2 linked regions of the Lepisosteus oculatus genome follow. The protein of the gene in region 2 purifies or fractionates together with the protein of the main gene of each other region. This does not show direct contact. Links are inferred from orthologs where the notes say so. Each region holds a gene or a part of one and is shown on either strand. Other genes may lie near its edges.

Evidence for each region. Proteins that work in one complex are often made in the same cells at the same time.
Region 1: the proteins of usp36 (region 2) and dgcr8 purify together in Homo sapiens (affinity purification with western blotting; 3 studies listed by BioGRID, with this or other methods). This does not show direct contact. The link is inferred for Lepisosteus oculatus from reciprocal best matches to the Homo sapiens genes USP36 and DGCR8.

The regions. Positions count from the first base shown.
Region 1 is NC_090717.1:2,990,103-2,997,465, forward strand, and holds the start of dgcr8 (microprocessor complex subunit DGCR8), read left to right. Parts: upstream 1-4,348; 5' UTR 4,349-4,470; intron 4,471-6,031; 5' UTR 6,032-6,368; coding exon 6,369-7,094; intron 7,095-7,363.
Region 2 is NC_090704.1:41,287,886-41,295,818, reverse strand, and holds the start of usp36 (ubiquitin carboxyl-terminal hydrolase 36), read right to left. Parts: upstream 3,023-7,933; 5' UTR 2,941-3,022; exon of another isoform or gene 2,493-2,940; 5' UTR 2,375-2,492; intron 1,759-2,374; 5' UTR 1-1,758. Other genes in the region: timp2a (metalloproteinase inhibitor 2a), read right to left, coding at 6,796-6,993, 7,377-7,501. UniProt on the Homo sapiens protein: Deubiquitinase essential for the regulation of nucleolar structure and function. Required for cell and organism viability.

The DNA of each region.
Region 1 (7,363 bases), on a different chromosome or scaffold from region 2:
CTGCACTTAAAGAAGCAAGGGATAATAGCAATTCTGTGTTCCACCATTGTCCCTTGTGTTTCTGGAGTGTCTTTTTACCACTGTGATATCGTAAAAACAAAACGCCCCCGGTGCTGCATGGTTCCAGGTGGTGTTTTTTTGTTTGTCATGCACATGCTGAGGAAGCATGGGTCAGAAACAGGGTGGCGAGGCATCAAGGAGGCCCTTGCCTGGACCAGACCTGGACCAGACCTGGACCAGACCTGGACCAGACCTGGACCAGACCTGGACCCGCTCTCCACCTTAGTTTTGTGAATCCAAATCCCTGGGATCCCCTCCCAAAGCCTTCATGTTTTACATCGGTCTGATTCTGCCCAGCAGTCCTCTCATAGGCTCAGAAATTGTCATCTTCATTTATGTCAACCACTTAACAAAGTGGCCATATTAAATGTTTCACGCTCATTGTTCAACCTTGCACAGCAGCAAGGATTATTATTTTCAGGTGTCATACAGTAGGGGAGAGACTAATTAATCATCATCATTGTTCAGTTTCCAAGTTTTTTTTTTTCACTCCCTGAAGCTGAAGGTTACTGTCCTCTCCTTAGTAGTTTAGTTGGTTAGTTTTGTTCAGAGGGGGAGTTCAAAGTTCCTTCCTCCCCTTTGTGTCCAGGAGGCCATGTATTGTGACAGACCCTGATGATTTATGTAGCTACAGCCGACATGTGCAAGATGTCCCATTCAGGACCTTTCCCTCCATTTCTTGGTTTTTAACTAGATGTTTTCCCAATGCTGTTATCTGTGCATTGAGAATGTAGTTGTAGGCTTTCGTTTAATAGTGCATGGGGAAAAAAGACATGTATTAACCAGTATGGCTTAACTTTGAATGTTTCACCCACTAACCTCAAAATTAATGTTTTTTTAATATGCATTACATCTTTAAATTAATGGCTGCACCCTGAAATCGCATTAGCAATAATTGCTACTCTGCAGTCCTTGGTAAAATCATACCCTGAGCGCTGTTATTATAGAGAGGGCTGAAGGGCAGGGTTATTGATGTCCAGACCCAAGTAAAACTGCACTGCAATCCATGCCATTAAAAGAAGCACAAAACGTCAGTCTTTATGCGTTTTGAATAGTGTGTAATTCTGATTCAGAGCCAGGATGCTCTGGTCATCATGGAATTTCCTTGCTGGCTTTTAATACCACAATCGTAAAGTGCTATAAATACAAGCATCTGTGCTGGGTTTGTAGTGTCTGCACTCATTGTAAAAGCTGAGGAGACAGTTGTCTGTCCTTGTTCTATAAAGATGTTTGGTTTTCTTTGCTGATGTAAGCTCTGCGTAATTACCTTGTGCACTTACATAGCGTGTGTCCTCCTTTGGGAAACAGTGATATTCTAGGCAGAGGTTTTAGCTCTGTTGTGAAAGTGCTGCTCTAGACTCTTTTAAAGTTATAGTTCATTAATTATGAACCCTGACCATGGCTATATTCCATCATCCCAAAAGGCAGAGGTGAATATTTTTTTTGTTTGCTTCCAGTCTACTGTTCATTAGTGCACTGAAACCAAAAACTAATGGAATAGTCTTTTTGATTTAACTCTTGTGTCTGTCACCCACAGTCACCTCATGTGTCCTGATAGACTCCTTGCGTGAGTTTGAGACAGGGCGGTGATGCTGCAAGTAAAATTGTGAAAGTACAGTGGTGTAAACTCACAAGTCAGTAGATATGAGAGTGCTGGGTTATCAATTGCCCTAGCTGAATTTAGAGCAAGGGTAAAATACTCCAATTAAGCAACTTGAATTACTTCAATTAACTAATTGAGCTAGTATGTGGGCCTCCAGGTCTAGAATTGGGACCCTTGCAGTAAACAAAATCAAAATGTGAGCTTCTGGACGTTGCTTTGCTCAGTTCTTCCAAGTCCACTCCAAATATTTACCATTTTTGTTCTTTTATCTTGCCTTTCGGTACAGAACATTCTCAGGGCACTTTACATTCATCCAATAATAAAAGTACAATAAACAGAATATTCTGTAAAACCAGATATAATTGAGAGAGAAAAAAAAGAAATGAACTGATAATTAAAGGCTATCAAGAAATAATATAAACCTATAAATCGGTAGCAATGTCATGATAGTGGATAGAATATGATGTCCAGATGACTGAAACCTGTGGGATGATTGTGTATTCCTAATAAGTTGCATCAATAGTCTTTTGCAAATGTTATACATATATACAATATATTGTATATTCTGTTTGTTTAAGCCATAAGTCACCTGGAATGAAGAGATCTACACAATTCTGTATTATCACAGTAGTAGATAATGTTGGCAACTGAAAAAGACTTCAGCGCTGTGAAAAGGCTTGAATATAACCACCAAGGCCACAGTGTGTTCGTGCTGTATAAGTAATATAACATTTCTGTGCAGAATTTGATACTGAAAGAATGTATTCAGATTATAAGGGACAAATATCAATAGTGCCATTGTCTGACTGCAGTACTTCCCCTGGTATTATTGTCTTTTTAATGTGCTTGATATATGGTGATTAATATTAAAAATATTGAATAATATTTTTAATAAAGTAATGAATATTAGACATCTCACTGGCTTCTCATATGTGCTGAAGAATGCATATGCAGAATAATTTTATTTCCTTTGGAGATTTTCTCTGTTCTTAATGAGTGCCAGGGACTTTGAGAAATCTGAGTAACTGCGATGTAGCTTCTCTGTAACGTGTAGAAAGAACATGTTATAACCTTGAAACTTCATACTCGTGATGTCTGGTGCATTGGCACTGCGCTTTACTGTACTGCCCTCTTGTGTTGGTATTTATTAATACTTCACTGAATTTTATCGAATGTAAAAACAGGCTTCCTGTTATTTTACAACAAAGGGGTGTCATTTCCCCAGAAAGTGTTTTGTTATAACATGGATCACCCAGTCTATGTGTTTTTAAACAACTGCTTATAGCATCGCTCCTCTCTTTCTGACACCCTAAGGTGTACATAAAAATCTCCTTAGCTAAAATTGACATTTGTCCTTTTATAATAAATGAGTAAGTTTAAACACAGCAATGCCATCGGTGTGAAAATTCAAAGTACTCCAATATACTTGTAGTGACGAAGAACTTTGAAGTCCTTTTTTTAAAGACCTGTGTGTCGAGGCTGGTCGCTGTGGGTGGTGTGAAGCAGGCAGCACCAGTGATCTGGAGGATAGTATTGCTGCCTCGTGGCTGTTGCCTCCTGGATTCAGATCCTTCTGTGGGGAGTTTGCCTGTGCTCCCTGTGGCAACAACAGAGAGCTCCTACCCCCCCCCAGTCCAAACTCTGCTGTCTAGGTTCATTGGTACCTGAAGAAGTGTCCACTGTTGACACCCTAGTGTTATATTGCAACCGTTGATCGTTTTTACCATTTCAAGTACAGGTTTGACACGTTTGCTACGAAGACGTCTGTAGCAATTATCTTAGTGGTTAATTTTTTTGTACAGAATAAATTGCGGTATGCTAGTGTCTTTTTTTTAATGCAAGATTTAGCCTATTACTTGAGAAATAAACACATGGGACCACATCGTGTTTAACTATTTTGGTGTATCTAAATCACAATTTGTGTAACTTTGGTAACTTGCATTTGTATTCATAAATCTCCACAATTTAAAGATGTAGTAGTTGGGATGCACCATATACATATTTATTCCAACTGGAAAGCACAATGATAATAAAGGATGCGATATTATACACTGATATGTCTTGTTTTTCTTATGAAGCAAAGCACTCACTTTTATGAATAAGGTGAGTTCGGCTGTGCCCTTTGTAAACACACTGGTAAGAGTTGCTGACCTAACCGCATAACTTAGTTGTTCCATCACTGTATTTTTATTAGTGCACAATTTAATGTAACGGTAAAACGAAGCAGAGTCTACGTAAAACAATACATTTTGTTTACACCTCCAAAGGTCATTATTATATTTTATAAATCGTAAAACAGATGGCAAAACCTAGATCAGAAATAACTCAAACCCAGACCAGATGCTACTACTATATCCCTTTTATACCAAGTGCCCATCACCAACTTAATGGAATACCCACCCCAGTCGTCTTATTGGGGGTTCAGCAAATATCTAATTATTTCAGGTGGGTAGCTGCGTCAGCATGCGTAGCTCCACGGCCGAACCGTTGTGTTCTCTTTCTTCTTTTTTTCAGCATGGAATAAACCTATTACTTGTTCCTTTGCTATCTAATTATTTGATTGGCCCTTTTCTTTATGCAGAGTCGCGTACGCCTCATTCTCACCTCCGATTGGCTAGTCTCTGCAGGCCTTTGCGACCATTGGTCACTGCGCCATCAATCGGCGACGAGCCGGTAAGGGGGGAGGAGCTTCAGCAGCCACTGGTGTTCTTTCAAAGATGGCGGCGGTGGTGAGCAAGATGGAAGATAATTTTCTTGACAATTTAAACTAATTTCAAGCGTGTAAAACAAAATTTATTACTTACAAGGTAAGTAATTGGACGCTGTGGGGAGACTAAAATGATTATCGATTTATTTCGGTTTTTAAAATACCGGAAGAGTTACTGTGGGGGGGGGAGTCTTTTTTTGTGTAGTGGAGCACCAAAAAAAAAATTAAATGAACGAGCTTCATATATGTTTCAAAATTCAGGGTGATTAAGTTAACTCAGGATGTGATAGACATTTAGAATTTATTTTTTAATGTAGAAAATTGTGCCTTTGTTGTAATAAGATATTTCCGAAAACCCACACCTAGCAGTATTTGTTTAACCTAAATAAAACAATAAAAAATAATAAAACCTAATAGATTTCCACCCGACACGGAGTTTTATTATTTTTCATCGTATGAATGTGAAGGCTTAAAAAAACTGTTTTCTACGGGCAAGAAGACACCCAAAAAACCATCTGTTCTGTAAGTGTAAGGATATTACAGTTACATTTGCAAAGCGTGACACTGATAGGCGTTACAGGCCCCATTCAGTTGGCTCAGTTACGTATGGAGATATATGCACTTCTTTTGGTGACATTTTAGCATATAGTTTCTAAGCATAATCTGTATCAAGCACAATCGGCAGAAGAAATCCCGATATTATCAAATAAATCGCGTTCGGCAGCGACTGTTACTGCTGTATGAATGAGAACGTGTCTTTGTATCCTTTTAATTTACGAGAAATTTAAATGTCTCCTTTTAAATCGCGTTATTCTGTTTTCATGTAGATAAGTTCGGAAACGGACCAGACGCCGAATTCTGGTCCGTGGGGTCGTACGGTACTATCAAAAGAGATCGGAAGTAGATTGATCATCTTTAAAATGTTGAAATGAGATTATTGGGGTGTCGTTAATCAGACTTCAGTCCCTTTCTAGCTAGTTGTTCAGTGTGAATAAAGGATGAAAAGGGTGTTATAAACTACAAGAAGGACTGTTTCTCCCAGTGTGTAGGTTGTGCAAATAGTACTTTAAAAGTCATTAGTCCAGCAATTTAATTTTTTAACACAATTTGAGTTCTTATACGTACATTTTTAAAAAGTAGTTTTTGGACACCTCTTGAAATACAAATTGGAAGGTTACTTCCGATATTACTTGCTCAAATATCGGTTACAATAAATAACAACTCAGTTATTGTATAAAAACATAGACTAGATAATATCTTTCATTATTTTCCACGTGGGTGCTCAGTGCAATAAAATAGATATCTATAGTGAATATAAAACATGAAAATACAAGTTAAAGATAATATGCAGTGACCGTATAGGCAAAAGGTAGGGGTCAATAGAAGCAGATAACAGCTGCCCTACAAATCATACAAATCATGGTTGACCTTATTTGGTAAACAGCCTTTAAGTGCCTTAAAATATTTAATCTTTTTTCTTTATTAGTTATGAAAAACTATAATTGAACTATCTAGCTGATGCCTTTCAAATATGAGGCAGTCTTCAAATATTCTGTTTAAGATGGAGGATATCATAGAGAAATACCCGAATGCTAAAAACACTGTCAAAATAAGAAGACACCTGCCCGCTGAGCTCTTTTTCTTTTGTTTTTCCTCCCTAGTTGGGACTTTCCGCTGAAGACTTGACCATGGAAGACGAACAGTGCCTAGCTATGGGCAACATTTAAGCTGAGTGCATTGTGATTTCCAATAATTGAGACAGTGATTCTAAAAAGCTGTCTACATTAATGAAAAGAACAATGTAGTCAGCTTAACATAATCAACAATTACATGACCAAAAGAGAGTGTGTTTTAGAGTAACGAGGAATGTTTCTCCACACGTCTTTAAGTAGTCGAAAACCTCCATTAAAGGGGAAAGAAATAATCATTTTTTAATAATTCAGTTGTATACATTTCCTCCTTCTCTGTATTTTTAGAATAGCATTATTCATTGTTGAAATGGAGACTGATGAAATTCTGCCGCCCCTCCCACAAGGGCCACCTGATGCTTTGAGCTTGGACAGCCTTAATAGTCCCCCACCGTTGCCGCCAAGCACACAGCCTCCACCACCTCCCCTGCAAACGTCCAGTGACGCAGAGGAAATGGACGTTAGCTCAGGTGGTGATGGACAGACAGACGCCCCAGCAGGGGACACTGAAACGACTGGCGCAGAACAGCTCCTCGCGAAGGGATCTGCTTCCTTCACCAGCCGTCTCGCAGACGAGCCAGATTCGAGCCCCCTGAACCCGAGAACCGCTCGGCACGCGCCGCCCGTCACCAAGTTCTTGCCCGACTTGAAGCTACTGAAAGACGTCAAGATTAGCGTGAGCTTTACAGAGAGCAGCAGGAGCAAAGACAGGAAGGTATTGTACACTGGGAAGGGTCAGGAGGTGCAGGCGGACACCCAGCTTAGCAGTGATGGCGTAAACGGCGAGCTGCATGATGCCGATCTGGGGTTAGCTGATGGGCAGGGTCAGGGTGATGCCACTGTAGATGCAGGGAGGAAGGGTGAGGACGTGGAGGCTGACTTGGAGAAGAAAGTAGAATTTGCGGTTCTGGATGAACTCGAGGATTTCACTGAGAATTTTATGGAGACTGGAGACGGAGACCAAGGAGGTTTCCAGTCTGAGGTGATTGTTCAGCAGGAGCAAGCAGATGAGGAAACCCTGAATTATTCCTATGAGGTAAGTTGGCATTTTTTTAATGGTTCGGCTTGCTGCTGTGGAACACATGGTCCTTCCACTACATTGTACACCGTGACCTTATGTAGTTTTCACATGCCTTCATCAGTTGTGGATCACTTTGTTACGTTTTTTTATATGTATAGTTTATCAAATCTTTTTTAAATTGGATATTTTTTTATTAGAGGTTAAAAATAATATTTTTTCTCCAAGATGTGGCTGGTTGTTTTAGACTGTATCGCATCTGGTGGGATCTGTATCCAGATCTTTGC
Region 2 (7,933 bases):
ACCTAATTTCACAAGGCGAATAGTGAGCATGTACCTAATTCATCGCTGGTAGTTCCATACATTTCTTTCACCTTGGGCAGGTCTTCATCACGCACTAAATTGAAAAAGTCTTCCACAGGCCGTGATGGATGATGACCTACCGCTTTTAAATAGACCCTTACGCACCTTTCCCACACGTATGATTTGCGCGTCACGTTTAAATTCTTGCCAAACTGCAAAAGCGCGCTGCAATATTCTTAATCTTTATAATACCTTTCTACATCCAAGAGGACTCCTGAGAAACAGGCTGAATAAAGCCTGTTTCTCATCTAGTAAATTCACTGCGCCAAGGCCATCTAGAATAAGTCTAGGAGGCGACATTATATTTTATGTTAATTCCTGACCTTGACCTCCTGACATTTAACAACATAGTGTTTGGTTTGCAGATAAACCTGAATTATATTTATTTTGGGGGGCAGGGGGAGAGAGTTCCTGAATATAACTGTAAAAGTGCAGTCTTTTTACAGCCTTCCAATACAGTGCAAACCTCATCATATAACCACAAAGCTGACTGAAGTACAAAATTAAAACAAATGCAACTTAATATTAGAAATACACCATGAGTGCATAAGTCAGTGATACTGACTTGTCCCTGTGTGTGCACACCTCACTATTGGACTGACTATTGCCCCGTCTAGCACATTGTGGTTCTGGGGGATGGCCATCACTGGCAATAGGAAGCTTTCTGATAATGAATAATGAAAGTCAGATAAATGTATGTATCATGGTTTTGAATAAGGAGATATATTAGTGCTTTTGACAAAAAAAGTTTTAAAAAAACATTCTTCCATGCATCTTCCCTGGCAGAGCTGGAGCTTGTCCCGGCAAGTCAGGGTACACCCTGGACGGGACACCAGTCCACCACAGGCACAAACTCACACCAGGGCCAGTTCTCCCAGAGGCCCATTAACTTACCAGAATTCCCTGGACTGTAAGGGGAAACCCACACAAACACCGGGAAGAACATGCAAACTCCACACAGATAGCATCCCAGATCAGGAGTCAATGCTAATCACAGTGCCACTGTGCGGCCCGATTGACAAAAAATTATAATTCCTTGCATGTATATAATGATAATAATTCCATACACTTATATACCCTTTTCCTGAAACTCCACTCGAAGCGCTTTACAAGTAATGGGGATCCCCTCCACCACCACAAGTGTGCAGCTCTACCTGCATGATGCAACGGCAGCCAAAGTGCACCAGTACACTCACTCAGTACATTCTTCAGGTGAAGAATTAGACACAGGTTCACCAGTGATATTAAAGAAGGATGTTTATTTGGGGAGGCCAGACTGAACAAGCCCAAATAGGAGTTTAGCCTGGACACCAGGGCTAAGACCTCTGCTCTTACTGACAGTGCTCCGGGACCTTTAATGACAAGGTCGTCTGGACCTTGGTTCAATGTATCACCTGAAGGATGCCACCTAGTGACCCACCAACACCCCTTACCAAAGCAACCACAGCTCAGCGGTTTGGGTGAAATTATTCAGATAAACCCACCACAAAGAAATCCAAGTGATTATTTTCACCCATAAGCAGTTTTATGCCATACAACATCTTTAAATGCAATGTGCTTGCCCTCCACTGTCTCATCCCAACAATAACCCCAGGCGGCACAGCTCTGGACTGAAAACACAAATGCTGACTAGTATCACCATCCTCTGTGAATTCCTGCAGTGATAAACTTTTAAAAAGCTCCATCTTGGTGAAAATACTGGAAGGGAAAAATGTGTTTAATGGAAAATGTGTAACAGTAAAAAGCTCACAAAAGTAATCCAACACATTAAAATGAAGAGGATCAAGTGGTACCTTCAGATACGCCATATTTTGTTTTCAGTGGTGTAAACCAACTAGACAGTTAATGCAGCATTTCTTGGAATCCCCAGACTAAAGTGTACAACAGCGAAAACGTAGAACTGGTATTTGAGTAATTATCCCAGAAATGTATCTTCTAGTTGTGGAAAGAGAAGTATTGTATATGTGGCAGTCAAAATAACTTGTCTTTTGGATCACTGGTGATCAATCGAATAGTAGCTCAGTGCCGTAATACGGTAAATACACCACAACAGCAAATCGCACCTAAGGTCATCCTCTAGAAAACAGACTCACTTCACTTAACGTGAACATTAACTGGTTCAGTTAAGATGAATATAAAATTATTTTAAGAATTTACTACAGTATTCAGCAAAGTGACAGTAACGCTGCCTCGTTTACCCGAATTTGCCTCCTTCTTGATTCGAGACTATTATGCGACGTTTGAAGATTTGACCAGATACAGCAAATGCACGTTAATACAAACCAGACTTAGAACAAGATGAAACAGCTCTCACCTCAAGGCCAAACCCAGAGCTCCGGGTCTCCATCTTACCTAAAAATCGTGGTTTGTGTCTGTATCCCGGCTCCGAAGCTGTGGGGAGTCTTGTGAGAATAACACCGAAAGCCTTTTCTCTGTACAACACACACAACACAAATTTACTCCTCAATTCGCAGCACCCGGCTTCTCAAACGACACCGTATTTTCGCGAAAATAACCGCATGAGCTCCAAGCCCCACCAAACTCCAGATTGTAAACAACAACGAAACATTTTTAAACCGATTTCTGTATGGTGTTCATTGTACACGTGTGGCGTCGTTCTGTTTTTTAAAATATAATTTGCCAAATCTTGCTCGGTAAGATAACGTCATTTAGTGCAGTCTCTTGTAGCCTTTGTTCTTCGTTAAACACGCCAATGTGCGGTTAAAATATATCCGTCATACGTTTTATTTGTATCTTAAAAAATACATGAGCCTCATCTTTTTCATATTTGTTTTTCAGGTCATATATTTTATGTTTTAGTCCATCCAGGCTTTCAGTGTAGGCCTACATCGTGTGATATATATATATAATCAGTCTTACTGGTGTGCTCGATTTATCCGAAGAATATCATAGGTAAGAGGGCTGTAATGGCAATGAAGCACAGCCTGTTTTGTGTTGTTTTTGTGGTAATATTGTAATTAAATAGTGCGACCACAAGTAGGCAGTCTTTCACCACATTTCATCTTCATCTCCCTTTTTACACTTAAATCCGTAAAACAGTGGATAGAGTTCCATTTGTTAACGTCCCTTCCGTGCGTCTGAAGGTAATGAGTAAAAATAAACAACGAAAGGATATGGGTTAGGAAGGATGCAATTGAATTGCTGCTATGATAAAGGTTCTTTCATAGACTACTAAAAAAACAGACTTCTAGATGCAAAGAAAATATTTTGTCGAACACATTGGGTGAAAGGTCCGTGTCGAAAAACCGCTAGCATGGGCAGTTCATTTTAAAACTACTAATATCAAGGGATTTGTAGGTCCTCATTTAGTTCAGTTAAAAGGGGTTGAGGAGAACTGAAATTACTTATACTTCCGATGACCAAATCTGTTGCCATTTTAAAATCCAGGTCAATAAGACGCATGTGAATTAGCCATAGTCCAGGGAGGGAGGTTATCTTATAAGAAATGAAGAGACATGTTATTCTAAATTTTTATTTGATAATACTGTATATTTAATCCATTGACTGTATGCCCACATATGAATTATACAAAGCGTCAAAGACATGCATAGTCTGGTTTTCATTTTACAATGGCTCTCATGTGTCTCCAGCACAAGAAATCTCACTCTTCAGCAAACATCAGAGAAAGAAGAAAAAAAATACAATAAAAAAATAAAATGGCCAAATAAAGAAAAAACACAGATCACTCAAGATTTAAATTATGCGTTTTCAGATACATCTAGTACTTGAATAGCAACAAAATACTAAAAATACCATGTAAACTTTTGCTTTCACTTAACAGGTCTTGTAGGATGAATTTCTCTACGCAAGACAGAAATGTGTGTTTAAAGTAATGGACTGTTTTTTAGCAGATTTGCCATTACTGTCTGGGACCTGAATGCAGATAATTACATCTCCTATTATTTCAAACAGTTGAATATCATTAGAGCAACACTCTGCAGCATTTAAAATCATGTTGCTTGGTGTTTTATCAGACCAAGATAGTTTGACTAAACCTCTAAGTATTGATTTCCCCCATCTGAAATGAACTTATGTGAAATCTGGAACTTTTACTAATGGCTGGGATGAACCAATGTTCAATAAATGTAAAAAAAAAAAACATCACTCATCCTTAAGTAAAGTGTACTTATTTATCAAACCCAATTAATCAGTTAACAGGCTGTAGTACAGTTCTTGTTGAATGATGCCTGCACTTTGCCCTTCATGTATATGGAGACACAGTAACTTACCCTACAAACATCTCTGCAAGACAGCTACTTTAACATATTGCCACAGATCAGTTTATTTTCAGTGATACAAATGCATAAAACTATTACGCAATTAATTCCAGAGATTTCAAAATGACACTGAGAGCAATCAAACTGCACAACCCAGCGGTCTGGAGTCACTGCGATATTTCTCCAGCAAAGCACTGTGCGTTTATGAAAATGGCGTGATACAATAGTCTTTGCTTAGGAAACTGTCTTTTTTGAGAAACTATATTCCATAGTGATTTTAAGAAAAAAATATCAGTATGAAATGCAAAACCAGGAATACTGCTTTTTAACAAATCACCATGATCAATATGGTGTAGGCGTTAAGAGTATTGGGAGAATGAATGAAGAATATTATGATACTGAACACCCTGGATGCTTCCTTATAAACGTACTCTATATTTCTAAATCGCAATACTTGTTAATGCTCCAGGAATCAGATTTCTAAAGATGGATGTGCATTTATACCTGACCTGAAGCAATGGGATATGAAGTCAAAGAATACATTCCTTTATCATTTCACTTGTTTAAATTGTTCCTTTATTTGGTTTCAGTCTCCTGAAACACACTCTATAAAGTAGTTCCTGGCAATGAACACGGTTATGAACAACATATGGTTTCCTAGACATCACAATGTGTGCTGTGGGTCATCATAACCTCGAGCCCTGCCTTACAGCAACTCAACATACACAAATTGTGGGGGGGGGGGGGGATTTGAAGTTTCTATAGTACTTTAAAGAAAAAAGAGAGAATAAAAGCATTACATGAAAGTAGCAAGACCAAACAATAATATTAGAAAATCAATTGTATAAAGAACTAGAAGGTTACAAAACAAAAATTACAAAAATCAAGAAGAGGATTCAATCCTCCCTGTTTGAGACCTTCGTCTTTTGACCAAATGTCTCGACTCCTTAGAAAGTGCAAATCTAAAAAGGTCTAACCAAGATTATTAATAATTATAATAAAAAAGAATTTAAAAATATATGTATAAAAATAACAAACGTATATGCATAGGTACTGTACAGGGGACAGGAAGACAATGTGGACAGAGGATAGGCCATAGGAGCGTATAGGAACAACCACAGCAAGCGAGGCTCCATTACTTTATTGACAAGGCATAGACTGGACCAGTGAGACATCAGGAATCCCCTCGAGGAGGAGAAAGGTCAAATCTGTCACTGAACTACTGTTCAAATTGTGGAACACGATTACATTCCTTCATTTCCTAGCGAACTGAGGTTTCTCCGAGGGCTGAGTCTGGGTCTCGGCTTTCGCTTCCACCACAACGCCACAAACGCGACTGGGTTTCCAAATTCTGGTCACGACTACCTCGTGCGGACGGTTTCTGGCGACGGTTCACTCGGCCGGTATTCCAATCTGCCCTGTTCAAGGTCTAAGACCAGGAACAATCCCGCCCTGGGAAGAGTCTGCTGCTTTGGCAGAGGAGAGGCTGTGCCAGCTGTGCCCAGAGAAGCTGCTTCTGTACATTCACACCCCTGCACACTGCCAGCCAGCTCCCAGCCCCAAATACCCACAGTCCTCTTCACCCTGACATCAGCACTCCTGACGCCACAGGGGGCAGAAGGCCCAGCTGACTTGCAAACAAACAGTTTCAAACACTGATAGGCCTCTTATGTAAGACCTACTGTATGTCAGCAAACCTCTATTTCATGGCTCAGACTAAATCATGCCCTTTTACGACACGTAACAGTTTAAGAATTCCCAACACGTGTGAAAAGCATCGTGAGCACTATTTTATTTTCAACAGGGTATCTCTTGGTGAACCGAGAAAGTGCTAAAGGCAACGACTGGAAGAACGCACAGGTCAGTTCTTTATTGCGTCTCAAAACTGCTAGAAATGAGTAGTTCAAGCCTTTGGTTCAAAATTTCCATCTCATAAACCATGCATTTTTTTTTTTACACATAATGCTGTCATTCAGAAACAAACATCACAATATTCTGGGAAGTCCCGCCTCACCATGAATCTGATTGGTTCAAGCTGCATGGTTATGAGAAACAGGAAATGTTCAGTGAGATTTGACCTTTGGAGATTTGGCTTTCAACAGGATAAACAACACCTTTGTTGTGGACAAAGATATTGTTATACCCTTGCTATAAGTAAAGCACAAACCAATGTTTGGTAGGTTATTTTAATTTTGCTGTATTATTTTTTTTTAAAGAAGAATAAGCGCTTTTTGGGGCAGAAAGTGCTGTCCTCACAAGATTGTCCCTCACACACTGCCGTAGTTGCTGCAAGGCTTCTTGAGGAAGTGACGTCATCACTCGACCAGTCTACATCTGTTACGTTTTAATAATCTCACTGTTTATTTAATTATTTATAATGCTCTTTTTTTTCTTCTTATCGTTTCGCAGGCGGTGTCTGCCGGCGGCGCAGAGGGCACGCGTGGGCGGGCGAGCAGGGGGGGGTGGGGGTGGGGGTGTGTGTGTGGGGGGTGGGGGTTTAGGGGTCCTCAATGTCCAAGAATTCCTTCTTGGGGGGCGCCACTCCGCGGTACCAAGCACAGGAGCCGTCACTCCTCTTGATGCAGGCGTAGTGGTTGGCCTGACGACCGCTGATGCTCTTCTCCATCACCCAGTCCGTCCACAGGCACTCGTCCTGGCTGTTGATGATGCACGGGATGGAGGAGCAGCGCGATATCTGTGGAAGGACAACACCCGTTAGCTGGGGCCGCGCTCGTCTTCCTTGCCAGCGCCGCCGCCGGCCGCTGCACAGCATCCCGGGGGAGGCTGTGCTGCAAAAACGAGAGACGAGGGACGAGTTTCGCGCTTTTGGCTTTAAAGCAGTTAACATCAGAACACAGGGATGGCCACAAACAAGATAAGAGAGAACCGAGACACTAAAAGAGGAATGAGGGGCACAAAATATGATGTTTAGGAGCAGGAACTAATCCTATGATTAAGTCAACGGGGGGACTGGTTGCGTCGCTGAGAGCTGGGCTGGAAGAAAGCCCGGCAGGCCCGTGGGTATCCTGGACCCGGACTGGGAATCGCCACCCCATGGCCAGACCGGTCCCTCCTCACCTTGCACTCACAGCCCATCTGGTACCGCTGGTTCAGACTCTTCTTCTGAGTGGCGCTCATGGACTCCCAGGGCACGATGAAGTCACACAGGGTCACGTGCATCTTTCCATCCGCTTCTGCCTTGCCTGGGGGTTACAGGGACAGTCGCATCAGCAGCCAGATCACCCTGCAGCTCACCGCTGGCAGCCCACTGAAGCTCAGCAGGTGTGAGCCTGGCCAGTACCTGGAGGGGAGACTCCTGGGAAAGCTAAGGCTGCTGCTGGAAGAGGTGTTAGTGGGGCCAGCAGGGGGCGCTCATCCTGCGGTCTGTGTGGGTCCTTATGCCCCAGTATAGTGACAGGGACACTATACTCTAAAAAGGCACCATACTTCGCATGAGATGTAAAACCGAGGCCCTGACTCTCTGTGGTCATTAAAAATCCCAAGGTGTGTCTCAAAAAGAGTAGGGGTGTAACCCCGGTGTCCTGGCCAAATTTCCCATTGGCCTTTACCAATCATGGCCTCCTAATAATCTCCATCTATGAATTGACTTCATCACTTTGTTCTCCTCCTCACTG